4 linked regions of the Arabidopsis thaliana genome follow. The protein of the gene in region 1 interacts with the protein of each later gene in a pairwise test. Each region holds a gene or a part of one and is shown in the gene's direction. Other genes may lie near its edges.

What was found.
Region 2: the proteins of IAA16 (region 1) and MYB15 interact in binary tests that used the Arabidopsis thaliana proteins (3 or more experiments, as listed by UniProt).
Region 3: the proteins of IAA16 (region 1) and TIFY8 interact in binary tests that used the Arabidopsis thaliana proteins (3 or more experiments, as listed by UniProt).
Region 4: the proteins of IAA16 (region 1) and HB21 interact in binary tests that used the Arabidopsis thaliana proteins (3 or more experiments, as listed by UniProt).

Annotation. Positions count from the first base shown.
Region 1 is NC_003074.8:1,287,306-1,292,877, reverse strand, and holds IAA16 (indoleacetic acid-induced protein 16), read left to right. Parts: upstream 1-1,986; 5' UTR 1,987-2,462; coding exon 2,463-2,665; intron 2,666-3,114; coding exon 3,115-3,386; intron 3,387-3,473; coding exon 3,474-3,609; intron 3,610-3,704; coding exon 3,705-3,766; intron 3,767-3,847; coding exon 3,848-3,885; 3' UTR 3,886-4,723; downstream 4,724-5,572. Other genes in the region: RALFL21 (RALF-like 21), read left to right, coding at 153-470. UniProt on the Arabidopsis thaliana protein: Aux/IAA proteins are short-lived transcriptional factors that function as repressors of early auxin response genes at low auxin concentrations.
Region 2 is NC_003074.8:8,307,184-8,311,766, forward strand, and holds MYB15 (myb domain protein 15), read left to right. Parts: upstream 1-2,025; 5' UTR 2,026-2,308; coding exon 2,309-2,441; exon of another isoform or gene 2,442-2,520; coding exon 2,521-2,650; intron 2,651-2,846; coding exon 2,847-3,441; 3' UTR 3,442-3,727; downstream 3,728-4,583. UniProt on the Arabidopsis thaliana protein: Transcription factor involved in cold-regulation of CBF genes and in the development of freezing tolerance. May be part of a complex network of transcription factors controlling the expression of CBF genes and other genes in response to cold stress.
Region 3 is NC_003075.7:15,715,274-15,720,943, reverse strand, and holds TIFY8 (TIFY domain protein 8), read left to right. Parts: upstream 1-2,076; 5' UTR 2,077-2,241; coding exon 2,242-2,488; intron 2,489-3,181; coding exon 3,182-3,351; intron 3,352-3,443; coding exon 3,444-3,700; intron 3,701-3,778; coding exon 3,779-3,875; intron 3,876-3,987; coding exon 3,988-4,213; coding exon of another isoform or gene 4,214-4,278; intron 4,279-4,284; exon of another isoform or gene 4,285-4,422; coding exon 4,423-4,511; 3' UTR 4,512-4,712; downstream 4,713-5,670. Other genes in the region: AT4G32580 (Thioredoxin superfamily protein), read left to right, coding at 409-579, 654-728, 830-1,066; AT4G32560 (paramyosin-like protein), read right to left, coding at 4,909-4,971, 5,056-5,178, 5,287-5,367, 5,581-5,670. UniProt on the Arabidopsis thaliana protein: Repressor of jasmonate responses.
Region 4 is NC_003071.7:681,450-686,307, forward strand, and holds HB21 (homeobox protein 21), read left to right. Parts: upstream 1-2,185; 5' UTR 2,186-2,381; intron 2,382-2,839; 5' UTR 2,840-2,852; coding exon 2,853-3,785; 3' UTR 3,786-4,047; downstream 4,048-4,858. UniProt on the Arabidopsis thaliana protein: Putative transcription factor.

The DNA of each region.
Region 1 (5,572 bases):
ACCGGTCAATTCAACATCCTATTGTAATTTCCTTTTAAGTAAAAGTTGTATAAGACTCTTTCACAATTATTTATTCACTATAAATACCACGAACTGTACCATTCTTACCAACAAATATATATTTCTCCCACACACATAAATAAACACAAATCATGAGCAATATGAAAATAACAAATAGGTTTATGCTAGTGGCAACATTCATAGCATGTGTGTTCATAAGCAGCATGAACATGACGGTTGGAAAAGTAATTGGGTATCCAGGGTTGAAGCCTGATCTTCCTTGTGATCATCATCGGTATCCTTCTGCATGTGCACCCTCCGAACAACCAGTGAATCCTTACAGACGGGGATGTAGTAAAATACATAGATGTAGACGCGATTCACCCCCTGCACCAATTTCTAGAAAAATGTTAATACGAGGTCAATTAATTTATAATAATGCATATAATGCATATATCCAATATCCATGAATAATAAATTTATGGGTTTGGTTGTGTTTAAGCCATGTTGTTCTCTACATCTACACATTTACCTTAATATTTTTCAGCATGTATTATTGTATTACGATATATACAGTGGTGAAATCTTGTTTTATCATTCAGTTTTGTTCGATTTAAGCTCCTTCTTATTAATGGTAAAATAAAACAAATCAGATCACATATATTCATAGCATTTAAGGACCTAGTGTGTCACACGTGTGAACCTGTAATGTTTGTTATACACAACAAGACAATGATTTTTGACTGGGCCCAGCCCACACGAGGGTCCTAACATCTCTCAACAGGGTTGGTGTTTTTGGGCCCAGGTGGACCCTTTTATCTCATTCTCCTCCTCCTCCTCACGTTTATATGAAATTTTTCACCTATATAAATTTAATCAATTTTATTTATATAAAATTCTTGACATGTAGATTATAAGATTAAGATGAAGTCGTTGTCAATTTGGACCTTCAATTTTTTATGTCAGATTCTTCCATCGTAATCATGCATGGGGGCATGAACATGATGATGTTTAGCAATAAATGATGTTGATGATCATTATGCTGTTATAATTTTATTATATATAATTTGCATGGAGCCATTTATTTATCAACGCTATTATTATTATGCTCCTTTGTGAAAAAATACTACATTACCATATTTTAGGGTCGACGAAATGGGCATGACATGTACCGCCGCCCATACCACATATGGTTGACCATTTACTGTTGAGTTAGTCGTGTTTGGCCCTCCCCACCGAAGATTATATAACCCAATACACATAAGAATTAGTTAGCATTTGCACCTGCATAGAAAAAAATTAGCACTAGATTAAATTATTCCCAGCATTATACTATATTATAATCATTGATCGGAAGGAATGTTTCCTAATTACATAATTGGTAATCATGTTTAACGCACAATTACTTGAATTAACATGAATCCCTAATTATCTATTGACTTCACAATAATCCATGAATTTAGAGCCAAGACAAGGCCACAGGGGCACATGGGAAGTATAGTACGAAAATGCTATGGCAGACCAGGACTTTTAGTTCGTTTAAACTTTAAAATTTATTTGAATTCAATTAGTATTTGTCGGCATTTTATAATATAAGAAATTGAAAATAGTCTTAAAAAAAGGCAAGCATAGGCCAATAGGCCTTGTGAATGGCGGACCCCATAAGAAGGACAACGAACGAATCGAATCCACGGGAATCAAAACACATGTTTGAAGCTGACCACTTTCGATTTCTTTCCCATCTGTGGGCTCCATTATGTCTTAGCTGTCATTTTTTAATTCCATTTTCATATAAACCATCACCAATTAAATAAAAATAATCTCCGACAAAACACTCTTTATTTATATATTTAGTCTTTTTCTTCTTTTTTTTCTTTGCTATTATTTTTCATCAAATTGATATTTCTGTTTTTGATATTTTTTCAAAAGACTCGAATATCTTTTGCCGTAAAAACTGATTAAAGTACTAAAAAGAAGAGGTATACCTTTTTATGCGAGTGGTAAAAATGATTCATATTTCAAGTTTGATTAGAATTTATTTTGGGTGGATAAATTCGACACAGAAAAGGAGAGACTGTGCCAAGTTGGCCTTTGCCCACTGGCTTGGCCGCAATTATTCTCAGGAAAATGACGCCATTCGTGACATCATTCTCTCCCGACAACACTCCTTACGGTCCAACCAATCCCAGCATCCACCTGGCAACATCACCTCCGTTCAAATAATCATCCTCAATGATCAATTCCATATATAATTTTATACCACACACGATCCAATATTTAGCCCTTTGTTTCTCTACACACATCTCACATCCCCCTATCTCTCTCTCTCTTCAAACGTTTTAGTTCCCCAAAAAAATATCAAAAGAACTAAAAGAAAAACCCTAGAAGCCGAAGAATCTCCTACTCGTTGTCGATCGGATCACCTAACTAATTACTCGTTGATAATCATTATATCGAGAAATATGATTAATTTTGAGGCCACGGAGCTGAGATTAGGGCTACCGGGTGGGAATCACGGAGGAGAAATGGCTGGAAAAAATAATGGTAAAAGAGGATTTTCTGAGACTGTTGATCTCAAACTGAATCTTTCATCGACGGCTATGGATTCAGTTTCCAAAGTCGATTTAGAGAATATGAAGGAGAAGGTCGTAAAACCACCAGCCAAGTAAGAAACTGAATTTCAATCTCTATTTCAACTAATAATATTGTCTTCTAGGTTCGGTAAAATTAGGTTATACTAGGCGGTCATTATGTAGAGATGTATACGCTTTAACATGATTTCTAGCTAGGTTAGGGAACTCGAACGGAATAATTATGCTGATACTTCTCCTAAGATCTTTGTTTTTTATTTGGTTTTGCTCCATGTTTCAATTGTAGTTAGGTTGAGAGTCTGTTTGATTATTTTTTTGTCGGGAAGAACTAGAAAAATACAAAACATAAGGAATCTTTCTTTATCTACCAAAAAGATTAAAGATTAAATAAACTTTTGGACAACTACAACCACCTAACATCCGACACGTGTAGAACAACTAGATCATTTACAAACATTTTACAAAAAAAAGAAGTAATGAGTATTATTGAAATTAAAAAAAAAAAATCATTACGAAATTTCAGGGCACAAGTTGTGGGATGGCCACCGGTACGATCTTTCCGCAAGAACGTCATGTCCGGCCAAAAACCGACCACCGGAGATGCCACCGAAGGAAACGATAAGACTTCTGGCAGCAGTGGAGCCACCTCATCCGCCTCCGCATGTGCCACCGTGGCTTATGTGAAGGTTAGCATGGACGGTGCACCGTACCTACGGAAAATTGACTTGAAACTCTACAAAACTTACCAAGATCTCTCCAACGCCTTAAGCAAAATGTTTAGCTCTTTTACCATAGGTAAATAAAAATTGACAATATATCTATCTACTAAAACATGATCCTTTTTATCATATATTGTTTGAAATTTGAAATTTTATTTTTCAGGCAACTATGGACCACAAGGAATGAAAGATTTCATGAATGAGAGTAAATTGATCGATCTTCTAAACGGATCAGATTATGTTCCAACATATGAAGATAAAGATGGCGACTGGATGCTTGTAGGAGACGTACCGTGGGAGTGAGTATTTTTATATCTTTAAATTTATATATGAATTATTATTATAAATACGTCTATACAAAATATTTATTTACATGTTGTTTGGACTATTTTAGGATGTTTGTTGATTCATGCAAACGTATACGAATAATGAAGGGATCAGAAGCAATCGGACTTGGTTAGTATTGTTTAATCCAAAACTGGTGGTGTAAAATTATACTATGAATCTTTGCTAATACTAATTTTCTATATATTGCAGCTCCAAGGGCATTAGAAAAGTGCAAGAACAGAAGTTGAGTTCTCGACGACATTTCGTGTTCTTACCTAAAAAAGGAAGAAAGCCTGTTTCGATCGGTTGGATATCTCGAACCGAGAAAGCTAAACCGGCTCGAAACTATTGTTCCGAGCAAGGAGTTTGCTTATAATATTAATTAATAATAATATTAATATTGTGGTGTATTACATTTTAAAAAATTAAATCGTTTTTGTTATATGTATTATATACATATATTAATATGTATATTTAATTAGGTTGCATCTATTTCCGTTAAAACCAACTTTTGTTTTTACGCATTATCGTGTTGTCTATATGGTCTGTGTCCGTAAGGCATCTTAATGTGTTACTTTGACGTACCAAATTATTACTTACATTATTTCATTTCTCAACAATCTTTTTTTATCCAACATTTTCAACCACCTTAAATTATACCTTTTTGTTTGTTTATTCTTTATTTTAGTAACTTTTCAATAAGTGGAGCTAAATGACATGAGATGGTTAACAATCGTAAAACCAACAAACGGAAGATTAGTAGTGCGGATCTTTTTGTATCAATGTAACTCGAAGACCAATTATTGTCGTGCGTATATATAAGGTTGGCCTCAACAGGATCCAATTGGTGTTTAGTGTCTATTTCTTTCTTTTTTAATAAGGTTGGCCTGGCCTCAATTATTGTTTTTTTTTATTTCTAATATTACATTTATCAATTTTTGGTGTTTTTTCGGTGAAACACAAATGAAAAAACTTTAAATAGATCAAGGTAATGTGGGTGGTGGAAAGGGCAAGAGCATGTGGATAATGTAGAGTTGTTGGGGGACAATATTTTAATGAATTCCGAGTAAATTAATAATGTCTTTAATATGTATGCTCCATTATTGATGCTTTACGCTGTCATCGACATCCATTGCCTCAACAAACAATGGTTGATAATGATGATATTTGTTTTATTTATTATTTATCTGATTTTTTAGTAAATTTGATCTAGTTTGTATCCTTGGTTGTCAAATTCACCACATGTATTTACTTGTTTGTAGAATACTTAGTTCAATATAAATTGGCTGATTTTGCTCTCGTTGTGAATTACAACTTGTAACTTAACAAGTACAAAATGCACAAAAGATGGTTCTCAAAAAACAGATTCACAAAAGATGATTACAAGAAGATGAAAGATACACAAAAATAAACAAGAAGCACAGCTTCGTCCCAACAATAATTAAGTAATTTGGGGGGAAAAACATTTTGGGCCATGGTTAACACTAGGGAAAAAAAATTGGGGCCTTACATTTTCTCATAATAATGGGCTTTTCATCAATTTTCTTAAATATTAATGGGCCTTTGGCCCGATAACAGCTACCCTATCCATTTGGTCCGGGCACTCTAGAATACTCTCTTCGCTCTTCTCTTTCTCTCGTGTACTCTGTTTTATCCAACTTATAACAATTTGAAGCGGACTTGATATGGGCTCAGTTTCGGTAAACCAAACCCGTATTGCCCGTTAAGCCCATAGACAAACAATTCAAGTTGACTTTGACTGAAGTCAACACTTAAAGATCTGTAGGCTCGCCAGCCCAGTCTCTATACTATTTTAGATCAAAGCTGAAAATTCATCTCGTGTCAATAAAGAAAAATTACGAGGAAGCGGATAGATTTGCTTTTTTACTTACGCATCATAGAAGAAATTTGTTAAACTGCTAAGTGAGTTTTGAG
Region 2 (4,583 bases), 7.0 Mb from region 1:
TTCAACACGTACCAACCTTAGTTTTATGCAAGGTGCTAGGATTAACACCTTTTAGAACAATATTTGATGAAGAGAGATATCATGTTTGATAAACAATATGGAAAACTAAAAACTTTTTCATAATTAAAGATGGTTAAGCTAGGTGATGCTAATATATCTGCATATATAAAATTGCATAATTTAGAAAAATTATGGATTTATAGAATCGCAAAATCAAAAATCGAAATAAAAAGTTGAATACTAAACTCAGGCAAAAAAGATGAATTTGAATAAACTAAACAAAATTAAATAATTGATGTTTTGGTTTCATACCATATCAAATCTGAGAAAGAAACAAAAAGATAGAGATGAAAGTGATTTTCACATTAAGCTGTGGATTATGTTTACAACGAAATACATATAAATATTATATTTATTAGGCTAGCAAAACCTTAACTAAACCCAAACATGATGCAATTGATAATTTGTCTTTCTGACCCAATAAACTGGGTACATAAATTTTATATGTCAGTATGCTTCATGTTACAGTACTTTAATTATTTAACACTAGTAACGCAAAAAAGATTTTTTAATAAATGATCATTTAATCATTATCATTCTTCATTAAACATTATTTATTGTTTTCTAATAAAATATAATGATGGTTTAATTGTTAGTGTAAATTTATATGGTAAAACTAAAACCTGTAGGTAAGCCTCTTTTCAGTCTTTTGTTGACCAGAAACTTTGAACAATAGAGTTCTATTTTAACAAATACTAACAAAATACAGAAGAAGGGTAAAGTTTTAGGTTGAAACTTAAAAGGGTGCGATACGTGTGAACGCGTTGGTCAACAAATACTATCACGAGCTGTTCTCTTTCCCGCGGACAGATATTGATTTTTTCGTGTTCTATTTTTGGATTTTGTGGCTGGTGTAATAATAATATTAAAGCATATATACTAGTATAAAACTGGTAATTTTTCGTAGAGGATTGTTTTCTCAAAGCCCAAACAGTAGTTGCAAATTTGTAATAACCAGATTTTGAAGTAAAATAAAATGGTGAGGAAATTTTAGAATAATTTATTTATCAAAAAAAAACTTTAGAATATGTTACATATTTGGTAGTTATAGTATTGTATCAAATACACATATTAATCGAATTGTTTGATAAAATGGAAGTAAATTATTTTTGACTGAACTATGTAGCACATATTTATTTTATATGAATCTCAAAATCATTTATATAATTTATGAAAAAGTTAGTTTTTTTTCTATTCGATACGTTAACAATTAATTATGACCAATAAATTGTTTTAAGGCATTCAGCAGTCTAAAAATAAAGACTGAAAATGGCGTCATAATAAACGTAAATGCAGTAAATATTATTCCCTCTATTTTTGAATATTTGTAGTTTAAAATTTTTGCACACAAATTAAGAAAACATACAAATCTCATTTAATTTATCTCTTTCTTATAAAAATATTATTAATTACAATTAATCCAACCAATAAAAAAATATGATATAAAATATAATTGGTTAAAAACTATTAAACACATTTAATTTTGCATAGAAAAGTGAAAACAACACTTATAGTAAAAAAAATAAAAAATCTTTAAATTACACTTAATTAGAAATAGAAAGAATACAAAACGTACGGATGTTGTTAACCTAAACACGATTACTACCGAGACTAAAGATGTCTAAGTTTAATACTAAGAAAAGTAAAACAATTTTTCGAGCAGATATATGAATAGTGATTTTTTGGGTCAACACATAATCCACCCAACGTTGATTTTTGTTTGTCGTTTACAATCTCTAAAACGTTTATTTTCTAAGAAATATACGTGTGGGCTCATTTTAATGCCCTTCGTGCGTCTACCCGACGACTTTGTTTACTCGAAACTATATCACACACTACACCACATATTTCAACATCACACTGTATACACACATTTATATATACATGCAGACCGATTATTATAATAATATTTTCTCCGGTCCCTAAAACATATATATCATTCATTCCCACATGAGATATAATATTATGTAAAACATACTTTTGACTATGTTGCCAATAATCAAAAAGACATCTCTCTCTCTCTCTCTCACATCCTATTTTCCAAGAAGCTCACCAATGCTTTTGAATTCTCCCACATGTCTTTTGACAATTTTAGTATAAATACTCAAACCCCTTAGTCAGTCATTCTCATGTTCATCAACAGCATTTGATCTCAAGCTCATAGGAATTTGATCTCCACATTATATCTTGATCATCACCACAAGAAAAACATTTCAACTTCTTTTATCAGCAATCACAAATCAAAGAGATGGGAAGAGCTCCATGCTGTGAGAAGATGGGGTTGAAGAGAGGACCATGGACACCTGAAGAAGATCAAATCTTGGTCTCTTTTATCCTCAACCATGGACATAGTAACTGGCGAGCCCTCCCTAAGCAAGCTGGTATGTAAAAATTATAATATCAAATTTCTTAATTTTGATCAAATTTCTTACATTAATTATTGGTAATTATTATTTACAGGTCTTTTGAGATGTGGAAAAAGCTGTAGACTTAGGTGGATGAACTATTTAAAGCCTGATATTAAACGTGGCAATTTCACCAAAGAAGAGGAAGATGCTATCATCAGCTTACACCAAATACTTGGCAATAGGTATTTTACTTCACATATAAGTATATAACCGACACACAAGTTTTATTTTGTTTTCTTACTATATATAAATCACCAAAAGAAAGTAACTTTATACACACGTCTAGGTCGCACTACTATTCTTTTAACTACACAATGATCGGCTCTTTAATTACTTTTGTATTGATGTTCTTCGTTTTCCTTTTGGTATCATCTTTAGATGGTCAGCGATTGCAGCAAAACTGCCTGGAAGAACCGATAACGAGATCAAGAACGTATGGCACACTCACTTGAAGAAGAGACTCGAAGATTATCAACCAGCTAAACCTAAGACCAGCAACAAAAAGAAGGGTACTAAACCAAAATCTGAATCCGTAATAACGAGCTCGAACAGTACTAGAAGCGAATCGGAGCTAGCAGATTCATCAAACCCTTCTGGAGAAAGCTTATTTTCGACATCGCCTTCGACAAGTGAGGTTTCTTCGATGACACTCATAAGCCACGACGGCTATAGCAACGAGATTAATATGGATAACAAACCGGGAGATATCAGTACTATCGATCAAGAATGTGTTTCTTTCGAAACTTTTGGTGCGGATATCGATGAAAGCTTCTGGAAAGAGACACTGTATAGCCAAGATGAACACAACTACGTATCGAATGACCTAGAAGTGGCTGGTTTAGTTGAGATACAACAAGAGTTTCAAAACTTGGGCTCCGCTAATAATGAGATGATTTTTGACAGTGAGATGGACTTCTGGTTCGATGTATTGGCTAGAACCGGCGGGGAACAAGATCTCTTAGCCGGGCTCTAGTTAACATGTTTGAGGAGTAAAGTGAAATGGTGCAAATTAGTTAAGGCTAAGAAATTCAAAAGCTTTTGTTTACCGAGAAAAAAACACACTCTAACTCTTGATGTGATGTAGTTAGTGTATTAATTAGAGGCTGCGTTTTCAAAAAATTGAATTCATTTGTTTCTCCAAAATTGAGTAGTTTAGCTTGTACGAGTAATTAATAATCAATGACAAGTAATCAAAGAGTCTACGTATATTAATATTGCCTTGTTGATGAAATAATTATCCAACAAACATTGGATGCCACTATAACAACAACAGCAATTAAAATAATATAAGTACTAGATTAATTCACTGTTATAATCATTTTCTAATGAGGTTTTGAAAGTTCAACTATGGCGGAAAAGGTAAAGTTACGTAGTTTTATAATAAATAACTTGAGAAAAAGGAGCTTAATGATCATAAACATTTTTAATTAAAATCTCAAATCTCTAAACATTTGTAGTTTATGTGTTAACGACGTCTATGCGTCATCATCCAAATTTAAGCCCCATATTGATGACAAAAAATATTTAAATTATAATTATACAAAACATATAAAACTATTGATTACGTTTTTTTTGGTAAGGAAAACTATTGATTACTCTTAAACTAGATGTTGTCCTTTAAGATAATAGCCCACCAAAAACAAAATCGAGATAATAATAATCTAATTATTTTTAAAAATTTAGACACTGCTTTGTATTGTAATTTTTGAATATCTAATTCATAACATAATTAAGGTAGCTTAAAAGAAAAGAAAAGAAAAAATTGTGCCCTTTATTTGAGAAAGGTATAATTGTGTGAAGTTAAACGATGACGTTTCTTTGGTACCTTAAATATTAATTTGTGTTTGATAATTTATTGTCTATAGATTGAATGCTTTGTTACATAAATGGGTTTGAATCAATGGATAATGGATTAAAGAAATGGATGTTTACATTAAACAACCACACAAGTATACCGAACCGAAATTGTTTGATGGCTTTGTTATAGACCGAACCAGGTTTCCAATTCGGAACCAATAATTATTAACCTGAACCAAATCGAAATTTGCCGTCTCCGAATTCAACCGAACCGAAGTTTTTTTTCCGGTTTAGGAGCTTCGTTTTATTGTTGATGCT
Region 3 (5,670 bases), on another chromosome or scaffold:
GAAAAGTAAGTGGGAAACAAGAAAGCAGAACAGTGAGATTACCAATTGTGCAAACAATCATATCATATAGTATACTTTGTTCGCCATCTTACTGTCACTTAAACAACAAAATTCACTATCATCGTTTAGCGGATTATTTTCAACTATATAACCCAGTAAAAGATAGTTTACTTGTCATGTGGTATATTTGACAGTTATCAAACTTTTGAGAGTTTGTGACACGTACGATACAGACACAAAATCAAATCTCCCTCTCCGACCATTTTTTTTTCTTAGTTACATAAATCTCTTTTCCTTCTCCAGCAACAGAAGAATTCTGCTCGATAATAGATTGGTAATCACAAAAAGAAAAGAAAAAGTGTTGGAGATCCTTCCGAGAGAGACGCGACATCTCCTTCCTCTTCGAAGATGAGTGGTACTGTGAAGGATATCGTTTCAAAGGAGGAGCTTGATAACTTGCGCCACAGCGGAGCACCACTCGTGCTTCACTTCTGGGCTTCTTGGTGTGACGCTTCGAAGCAGATGGATCAAGTTTTCTCTCATCTCGCTACTGATTTCCCTCGTGCTCACTTCTTTAGGGTTCGTCGTCTCTGTTCGAATTTTATCTCTTTCAATTGGTTTTTGACTTTGATTGGTTTTATTTATCTTCTTAGGTAGAAGCTGAGGAACATCCTGAGATATCTGAGGCTTATTCTGTTGCTCTTGTGCCGTATTTCGTCTTCTTCAAGGTAAACTTTAGGCATATTGATTCTTTGTTTGGTTGCAATTTTTTGGCTTATTGACAAAGCTTGAATCTTTGTCACTGCACTGAATCCTTTTCTTATTGAAGGATGGCAAAACTGTGGATACACTTGAAGGGGCAGATCCATCAAGTTTAGCTAATAAAGTTGGCAAAGTTGCTGGTTCTATTACTCCTGCAAGCTTAGGGTTGGCTGCAGGGCCAACGATTCTTGAAACTGTTAAGAAGAATGCGAAAGCTTCTGGACAAGACCGAGCTCAGCCTGTATCTACCGCTGATGCTCTCAAGAATCGTTTGGAAAAACTCACCCTGTTATGTTATTCATGAATGGTACTCCTGAAGAGCCTCGATTTTTAATATCTATTGAGTACTTTCTTTATAGTTGGAATTCTTGTGGATATATATCAGGTAGCTACTTGGAGCAAACATGTTGCTAAAGTTGACCTGCTACTGTTGTTTGAAGAACACGTGCTATGTCTTGTCGTTGAAGGAATTATGTTCATATGGGAAGAACATAAGCCTACTGGAAAGTTTACCCCTAGCTCTATTGTTAACCCAGATACTTGAGCCTCCATATCACAAACATCTAGTTAAGGTTTGTGTAGTAAGAACAAGAAAAACAACACGTGTTCCCAATTCCCATATAAATGACCATTATACTTCTATCAACCCAATTAATCACAGTCCGGAGACTAGTTGATTAAAAAATCAGCTAATACTAATTTGGTGGTTTCAATAAACATCTTAAATACTCCATAATTAAACTAGATTAAAGTGGGAAAAATCGTCATGAGTAGTTGTAAAATCGATTTCATTTAAGAGTATAGAAATTCGTCATGAGTGGTTGGTTCATGAGTTCTCTCTCTTACTCATATTAGAGTAAGAAATCAAACACTTATAATCATTCAAAATTCAACAACTCTCATCTCAAAACCATATATTTAGGTAAAGTTATATGCATACATTTTGCATTTTAATTTTAAAACAGATTATTTGGCGCGTAATGATAAAATTATGTGTATAAAAATTATTTAACTAATCGATCTAACAACCACATATGAGTAAAGTAGTTAACATTGTACTACTACACCAAATTATAGTGTGTTGGTTAGATTAGATACACAAACTCACTTTCTCAAATCAATAACATTATGAATCTATGATAACCTTAATTTAAAAAGAGTCTATAATGCCATGATTTTACAATCGTACTTTTTTCTTTTGGGCTGAACTTTTAATCATATATTATTTGAAAGATGTGATTATTATAATATTAAAGGGAATTAAAATCATGTAAGAGAAACCCAATAAAGTAGCTTGAAGAAGAAAAAGACAAGCTTTATTATACACTTACCCAGAAAAACAAAAAACAAAAAACTGATAATATCTCTCTCTCTCTCTCTCGTTGAGTGTGTCCATGAAATAATACTCTGCCAGAGACAGAGAGAAAGACTGTAACGGAGGATGTGGTGGCGAAGTGGCCACACTGACACACTGGTTTCATGATGGTGAACCACAACAATGGCCAGCGACCCACTGATATTGATTCTCGTCTCCGACAGACAGAACAAGATAAGCTCTTGTTCCATGACTTTTTAGGCTCCAAGAATCCTACTTTAGCATCCACTTCCATGGCTGACCATAGGCTACCACCGGATAATAAGGCGGCTAAAGCGGCGATGACTCCTTCCACGGCTTCTGCTTCCTCCGCCGGTGGACTCGGCGGTCTCTCCTCAACCTCCGATCTCGGTTCTGCTCTGTCTCTCTATCTCTCTCTCCTGATGTTTTTGTTGTTGTTGACGTAGTGTGCTTACGCTGATGAGGTTTTGAGCTGATTCCTCTGTACATTTAGGGTTTCTATCTATAGAAAGTTCAACTTTTGTTACATAGATTCGATTTAAAGTTGGATTCTTTCTTTTCCCCCTAGTCTGGATTAACGATCGAGCTTTGATTCACCATGATTTGAAAATGTAAGAGATCATGTGAGTTAGTTTCAAATTTTTTAGTCAATTCATTTATGATTAGATCTCTTAAGTTGAAAATGGAACATCTTTGGGTTCATAAGGTTGAACAAAATGTGAATGTACATTGTCTTGTTTCATTTCTTGCCTCATTGCTTTTTTAGTTCGACAATTTAAGAAACATGAACATGGATTGTGTGTGGGCATGTGGTTGCTTGACCTCTTGTAGTGTTAAGGACTCTCCCTCTCTCTCTCTCTCTCTCTCTCTCTCTGCCCAACCATAATGCCCTCTGGTGGATTAGTTGGGACATTGAGAGTGAATTTGACTGATGAGTTTGGTGGGTCATAGCCATTTGAGGTTGTGATCCTTTTTTATATGAATTGGCCCTTCTTTATTGCCTCTCGTTTTCTCTCTCTATCTCCTTGAGTTCCCTCCCACAACAATCTTTAAGTTACTTATCCATATTTTATCATTGTTTAGTCGAAAGACACAGCGGCGGTGGGAATCATCTTGATGGGATACAATTGTTTGGACCAAGAAGTGATGTTTCTGGCTCAATCATGAGCAATCGGTTTTCAGGAAATAAGAGAAGTAACTCTGATTCTCACTTCACGACTCAGGAGCACCCAGAGACTCTGCATTGGTCCAAGGTAACTAAAAAAAAAACAGAACCTACACAACTTCACCATGGTCACAGCTACGTAGAACTCAGTTTCTGTAATATGTCATTGTCATAACCTAGTTGCTTAGAAACGGACCTGGAAGCTTCTCCATGAATGTGAATCCTTTGGCAAACCAGCCTCCACGCGGAGGAGGACAGATCAGTCATTTGCTTCATCAGCTGTCTACTAGCAGGTTCAAAGATGAGAACGTAGGCCCATCAGTTATTGCTCAGACAGCTGCTGATGAAGGTTCACGAACAGGGATGAAAGGTCCCGGTATCTTGAGTTCTTTTACAATGCCAAACTCAAGCAAGCTCGAAAGTTTTGCCCCTTCAAAGTCAGTTAGCTTCTAGTGTTTTGTGTCTCTGGTCTTTCGATACTCTTCGAGTCATTTCAATACACTTTGTATTTGCAGTACCGGAAATCGGAAAGACTTGGCGTCGAGTACTAAGCAAATGACCATCTTCTATGGCGGTCAAGCTCATGTCTTTGATGACGTTCACCCAAACAAGGTGATTCTCCCTAACACTTATACACTTGATATTCAAGTTATTTGACTACATTTTGATATCTAAAAAGGTAGAGAATTGAGAAGTTCATCTGATGAATGTTATTTTTTTGCAGGCGGATGTGATAATGGCCTTGGCAGGATCAAGCGGAGGCTCATGGTCTACGGGTTTGTCTCATAAACCGAAGTCGAAGAACAACACAAGTGACGGTCCATACAAGCTAGGCCAAATGTATGAAGGAGGCAGCTCTAAGGAAACACCACAAATGCCCCCGGAATTTCGTGCAAGGCCGAGTCATCAACCTACCTCCAGTGCCTGTCACCGGATCTTTACACAACCAGGTGACTTCTTTTTAAAGAAAACCAGATTTCAGCAGAAATTTTGGTTAGCTTCTTACAAATACTGAGTGGAGTAGAGTAATCAGGTCTTATTTTGCATTGTGACATAATAAAATGAGGATACAACAGTAAAGAGTTATCAACTGTTCTGGGTTTTATCAACTTGAATCTGTTTGAGGAGCCATAAAACCATGTACATGTATGATTTGCAGGTAGAGAGCATCAAGGAAGCATCATCTCAAGGGGACGAGATATCAGAGATCCGGTTCACAGATCAGATCCTGAAAAAGAAGCCACATGATTAAAGTCTGAATATGAGAGACGATGAGTGTGGCTGTTCTTCTAAGTTGTTGTTTTTTTTGTTTTTTTTTTGTTTTTGGTCAACTTCTTCTAAGTTGTTATTTGTTGACTTGATAGCTTTGTACAATGCTCTGTACCTTTCTAGGTTTGTATTCAAACTCATCTCCTCAATGATTTAGAGAATAATATTTTCTCATAGCTCATATATAAACATATTGGTCAACCAAACCTACTATTTCTAGGCCTATCGATTTTCGTATATTTCCATGTAAGGCTGAGCATATGGATACATCACATCACAAGAGAATCATATCTAAATCAACTCTGGCTCTACTCTGGTTAGCTGTAACTCGAAAGGAGAGTCACTTCATATCACCTTATTCAAACCCTTCTTCGAGTCAGAGGTGTTCGTTCATGGCAGATATATGACTTCTCAGCCTCTCATTCTTAGTACATTCCTCCTGCCATTGAGAAATTTAGCACTACGTAAGTAGATGACTCTCGGGCTTTTCAGTATAAACACTTATTTCCTATCTTGTGCTAACCTGGTATGCTCTTAGTACAGTGTAGCATTTTCTTTGCTCTGCAGCTGCAGCTATATACTTTTCTTTTGAAGCATCACGGAGCCTCTGCTCTTCTTGAAGCCCAAGTTGTATTTTTCCAATCTTCTGCACTTTAAACATTTTGTTATGACAAATCATACAGCTATAGATAGGTAAGATGGGTTAGTTCATGCTTTGTGCCTCAAATACCTGATTCAATATAACTCAGATTACCTGTTGGATTCCTTTCATGACTCCTTCCATTGAATCAATAAGCTTCACACGGCCAGCAGGAGTACCAATCACGTCTTGAAACTACAATCAAGTCAACGGAATTATGGTGAAACTTTGACTCACCAAGAGATATACTAAAAGGGGAAAGCAGAGACGTAAATCAACTTAGTAATGAACATAAGCTATTCTCAACGATATAAGTACATGACAACTAAAGGTACAACGTGGAGAACAGTACAAAGCAGATGATGCTAGTTATAGAAAATCAACAAAATAATAATGCCTGTATTTTACCTGTGAACCTATGGAATTCAATAATGATGTCTCCTTAAGCATCAAATCTTTGATTTCTAAAAGAGCATTGTATGTTGCATAGAGCTTCCT
Region 4 (4,858 bases), on another chromosome or scaffold:
CGTAAACCGTAAGGTACAAAGAAAATAAAAGAGTTGTTTTTGAAAAAGCTGCTACAATGGAAGGAATTTTACCAGAGTCCAGAAGAATAGACAACACATAGAAACAAGAAGAAAACAAAAGAAAAAGATAAAAGTATCTCAATTTTTGTTTTTTTTGTATTATAAAATAAAAGCCCACAAGGTCACAAGGAAATTATAAACTAAGAAAGTGAACTGCTCTTATTTCTTAATTGTGTTTTGTGTAATTAAGACTTGAATGGTCATTAGCAATTGCCGCAATTTGGTAGTTAGTGCTTCTTTTACGAATCAATAAAAATGAGATTAGTCCCCACTCACCTAGAGGAACAACCGCCACCGTAGTTGAGACAACAACTTGTCGTGTTTGTTAGAACTTTTCTAAAACGAATTAAGTTTGTCGATTAGAACAATTATACCTAAAAGGTCAAAACATGAAAATGAAACATATTTTTTGACCGTCAAAAAGAAAAATATATCTTAAAACATTAGTCATCAAGAAGCAGAAATAATAATCTTAAGCAAGAAAGTAATAGTTTTCAGGTAAAATCTTAATATGTATTGGTGATTTGATGTTTTCATTTGTTTGATTTTAAAGAAATATAAAAATAGGGATTAGTGATAATTAAGTCGAAAATGTAAAGCAATAAAAAAAATCTATTTACCAAGACTTACTATATATACTTTTAGGCCAAAATTTACAATTCTGCCACCCAAGAGCAATTGTTCATATATCATCTATAACATAGAGTCTAATTTTACAACACTGATAGCCCGCAATATAAACCAAAAACTTTATATTATCAAAACTTAATAATAATCGAGATTTTGGTCTTAACAAAACTCGTAACAAACTTTGGTTTATGAATATATTTCAGTAACTATATTATCAGTTGATTATGATATTTTTATTTTATTGTTTATCTTTTGATTCTTTCTCACAATTGTATGTTCCAGAAAACGGATGATCATGGTATATAAGTGCACATATTTGGTAGGACCAATAATTAATAGTAACTTCAAGTAAATCATATAAATTCACAAGCATGACATGACAACCTCTTGAAGCTAATATCATACGTGACATAATTAATGGCGAAGGCCGAAGGGTAAAGGAACAATATGTGTTTTTAATTAACTAGCTTAACAAGTTAAGGCTTTATAGTAATGTTTAGAACATTCTTTCGTTTTGAATTAGTATCAATCTCACACTTTTAAATTTTAAGATGGTAAAAAATATTATTATTATACCTTACTACCAAATTTTTAGTTATTTAATGTTTTGGAACAAAGATGAGATATTGTTATTTATTATGACTTTCTCTTTGTTATCTACTTCAATACTCTTCCCACTAATTATCTGACACGTTTCTACACTGTTGTAAATTTGATGTCTGATAGTGCAAGACAAGCAATCTCCCATAATCCTAATTCTTGGCTCTCTTCTTTTTTTTCTTTCCCTTTACTGATAATTTGTTTTGGGTGAATATGAAAATCTTAGAGCATCCACATTACTCATACCTTTGTAGATATCTCAAAAATAAATTAAAATTAAATTAAAGACAGCTTCTATTTTAGAGATCTAAAATGTCTTTCTAAAGACACTATTACACAATTAAAAACATTAAATTATCTTTTTCTATTATTTTTAATTTAAAGACACCCTCAAAGTATCACCAATGAAGAATGAGGATGGTCTTATATTCAATATAACCTTCAATTCATCAATGACTGCGATATATCAATATTATAAAATGACATTTCATGAGTAAAAATGTATATAAAAATGAATAACTACTTATCTTATAAAGTCTAATTTAGTGATTGTTGTTGTTTCTTCAAATTTTAAATTAAATGATGTAGCTTTTTTTGTTTCAAATAATTTAGCTACACTTTTTCTTTTCCATATTTTGATCACAATTGTATTGTTTTTGTCTATATATTATCACCCAAATTTTAATTTGGTAGAGACATTATTGAATAAAATATCCTATATATGAATTAATAAAATGAAAACTAGGTGTAATTAATTAATGATCTTTTTTCTCTTTGTCTGTAGAAAAGTGAGGAAATAATTAGCTATGGCTATGGCTCTCATGTGTCTTTCTCATGCTTTATTGGCTTTCACTACTAATACTCTAAGCCCTTAGTTTAAGAAGTGCCTTCACATCCAAAACCCACCTGCAATTCTCTCTTTCTCTCTCTCTCTCTCTCTCTCTTTATCTTCTTTCTTCAAAGTCTATCACTTTATAAAACCCTAATTAAATCTCTAAACTCCTTAGCCTCTCTCTATTCTCAGAACCTTGTGGTTATTCTCAAGAAAGGTTTCATTTTGAGATAAAGTTTGCTGCTCTTTCTGGTTGTGGGTATGTGCTCTTAACTTCTTCAGTCAATTTTTTCATTTGGTTTAAATAGAACAATTTTGTTTTGGTGATACAATAAAGATTGTCTTCTTGATTATCATCAACCTCTCACTTGGAATAAGACCTTTCTTTCTCAAGTGGGTTTGTCAGCTTTTGCTTAAGCAGGCTTGCAATAAGTTTTTCTTTTCTTTTGTACTTTTTCGTTTTGTTCTCTATCTTTATGGACCTTCTAAAATTAGGGTTTTTCTTTTTGTTTGGAGGAAATAATTAAAAAAATGGGGTTAATGAGTAGTGAAGAAAGCTCTTGCCTTTTTGTAGCTTAATCATTTGAATTTTACTCATTAATTATCTTTACTCTTGTTTTTTTCTTCCTAACTAGTTTCTTTGTCCCCAAACCAAGAAACACTTTGCAAAACCCAAAAAAAGTTTTAAATATAAAATCGTGTTTATTTCCTTGGCAGATAGATCAAAAGAATGGAGATTGCAAGTCAAGAAGATCCTATTCCAATAAACACTAGTTATGGTAATAGTGGAGGTGGGCATGGGAACATGAACCATCATCATCATGCCAATTCTGCACCATCATCTCTCAACATTACTACTTCAAACCCACTACTAGTCTCCTCAAATAGTAATGGTCTTGGTAAAAATCATGATCATTCTCATCATCATCATGTGGGTTACAACATCATGGTTACCAACATCAAGAAAGAGAAGCCTGTGGTGATAAAGTACAAGGAATGCCTAAAGAACCATGCAGCTACCATGGGAGGCAATGCCATTGATGGTTGTGGAGAGTTTATGCCAAGTGGTGAAGAAGGTTCCATTGAAGCTCTCACTTGCTCAGTTTGCAACTGCCATAGAAACTTTCATAGAAGAGAAACCGAAGGTGAAGAGAAAACATTCTTTTCCCCTTACCTCAACCACCACCAACCACCTCCGCAGCAGAGAAAACTCATGTTCCACCACAAGATGATCAAATCACCATTACCACAACAAATGATAATGCCTATTGGCGTTACAACCGCTGGATCCAACTCAGAGTCAGAGGATCTTATGGAGGAAGAAGGCGGAGGAAGCTTGACATTCCGGCAGCCACCACCACCACCATCACCGTATAGTTACGGACATAATCAGAAGAAAAGGTTTAGGACAAAGTTTACACAAGAGCAAAAGGAGAAGATGATTAGTTTTGCGGAAAGAGTTGGTTGGAAGATTCAGAGACAAGAGGAATCTGTTGTTCAACAGCTTTGTCAAGAGATTGGAATTAGGAGAAGAGTTCTTAAAGTTTGGATGCACAACAACAAACAAAATCTCTCCAAGAAGAGCAACAACGTTAGTAACAATGTCGACCTTTCTGCTGGTAATAACGACATTACTGAAAATCTTGCTTCTACTAATCCTTAGTTAAGTTCAGATTGTTGTTATATAACTTCACTCATGTGATTACTTAATTAATTAAGTACTTTCTTATCGTATGGTTAATGTTTTCTCCTTTCTCGGCTAATCATTGTTTAGGTAGCTTTATAAACATGTGTTTTATTAGGGTACCTATAATCTTGGTTTTGGAGCGTGTAAGATAAGTTTTTGATGTTTTCTTATAATGTATGTTTAAGAAAATTCTTGGCGATTTAACCAATGCATTGGGATGTGCACTGTTATTATTTACTTCGAATCATTAGACTTTGTAGTTCGTGATATCATTTGTCACGTTTACTATTTATGTGAGTAGCAGAATTTTAGATTCTCATAGGTAACTCTTTTTGTTTTTGTTTTTTGAATTCTGATATTTATTAAAGGAAGTGTATCATACAAAGTCCATAACAAAATTAATACTAGTTACCTAAATCTTACGCCGGTCTTGTTTTGATTTGTCTTGTTTCTTTTTTGTCGTTGTTTTGATTTAACAAAATATTTTTTTTTGATTTGTCTTGTTTTTTAAACATCCGGTCTTGCTTTGATTCTATTATTTTGTTTTCTAGTTTGAAAAAATATTTTCATTCTCATGATCGAAAAATAAATTGCACGGAAAACAAAGAGAGCAATAAATTACGATTTCTATCAATGGAGAGAGTTGGAGATTGTCCTGGCGAGTGTAAGTCAAGTCCTAATATGTATGACGTATTAGGTTGAGTAAATGTTTGGTTGGTGTACTAGTAAACTCATTTATGGACCTTTTCTTTTATTTGAACAATTATGTGCATTTACTTTATGTGACTTCTTGGCATATTGCAAGTCGTGTAATGTGATATGGGATAAAATATGTCATGCATCAAAATGGAGTTACGATTTTAAGATGTTGTTGTTCCTTGTGATATCACATGTTTCATTTATTGTAATATTAAATGTAACATTTTCACTTGTTGTTTTATAGTAGTATAATTTTTTATGCCTATAGTTTATCACTCGATTTCAGTAAAACATCAATAATGAATTGCGTATTGCGTATTTCGTGGAAGATAAAAATTCAATTAACTGAC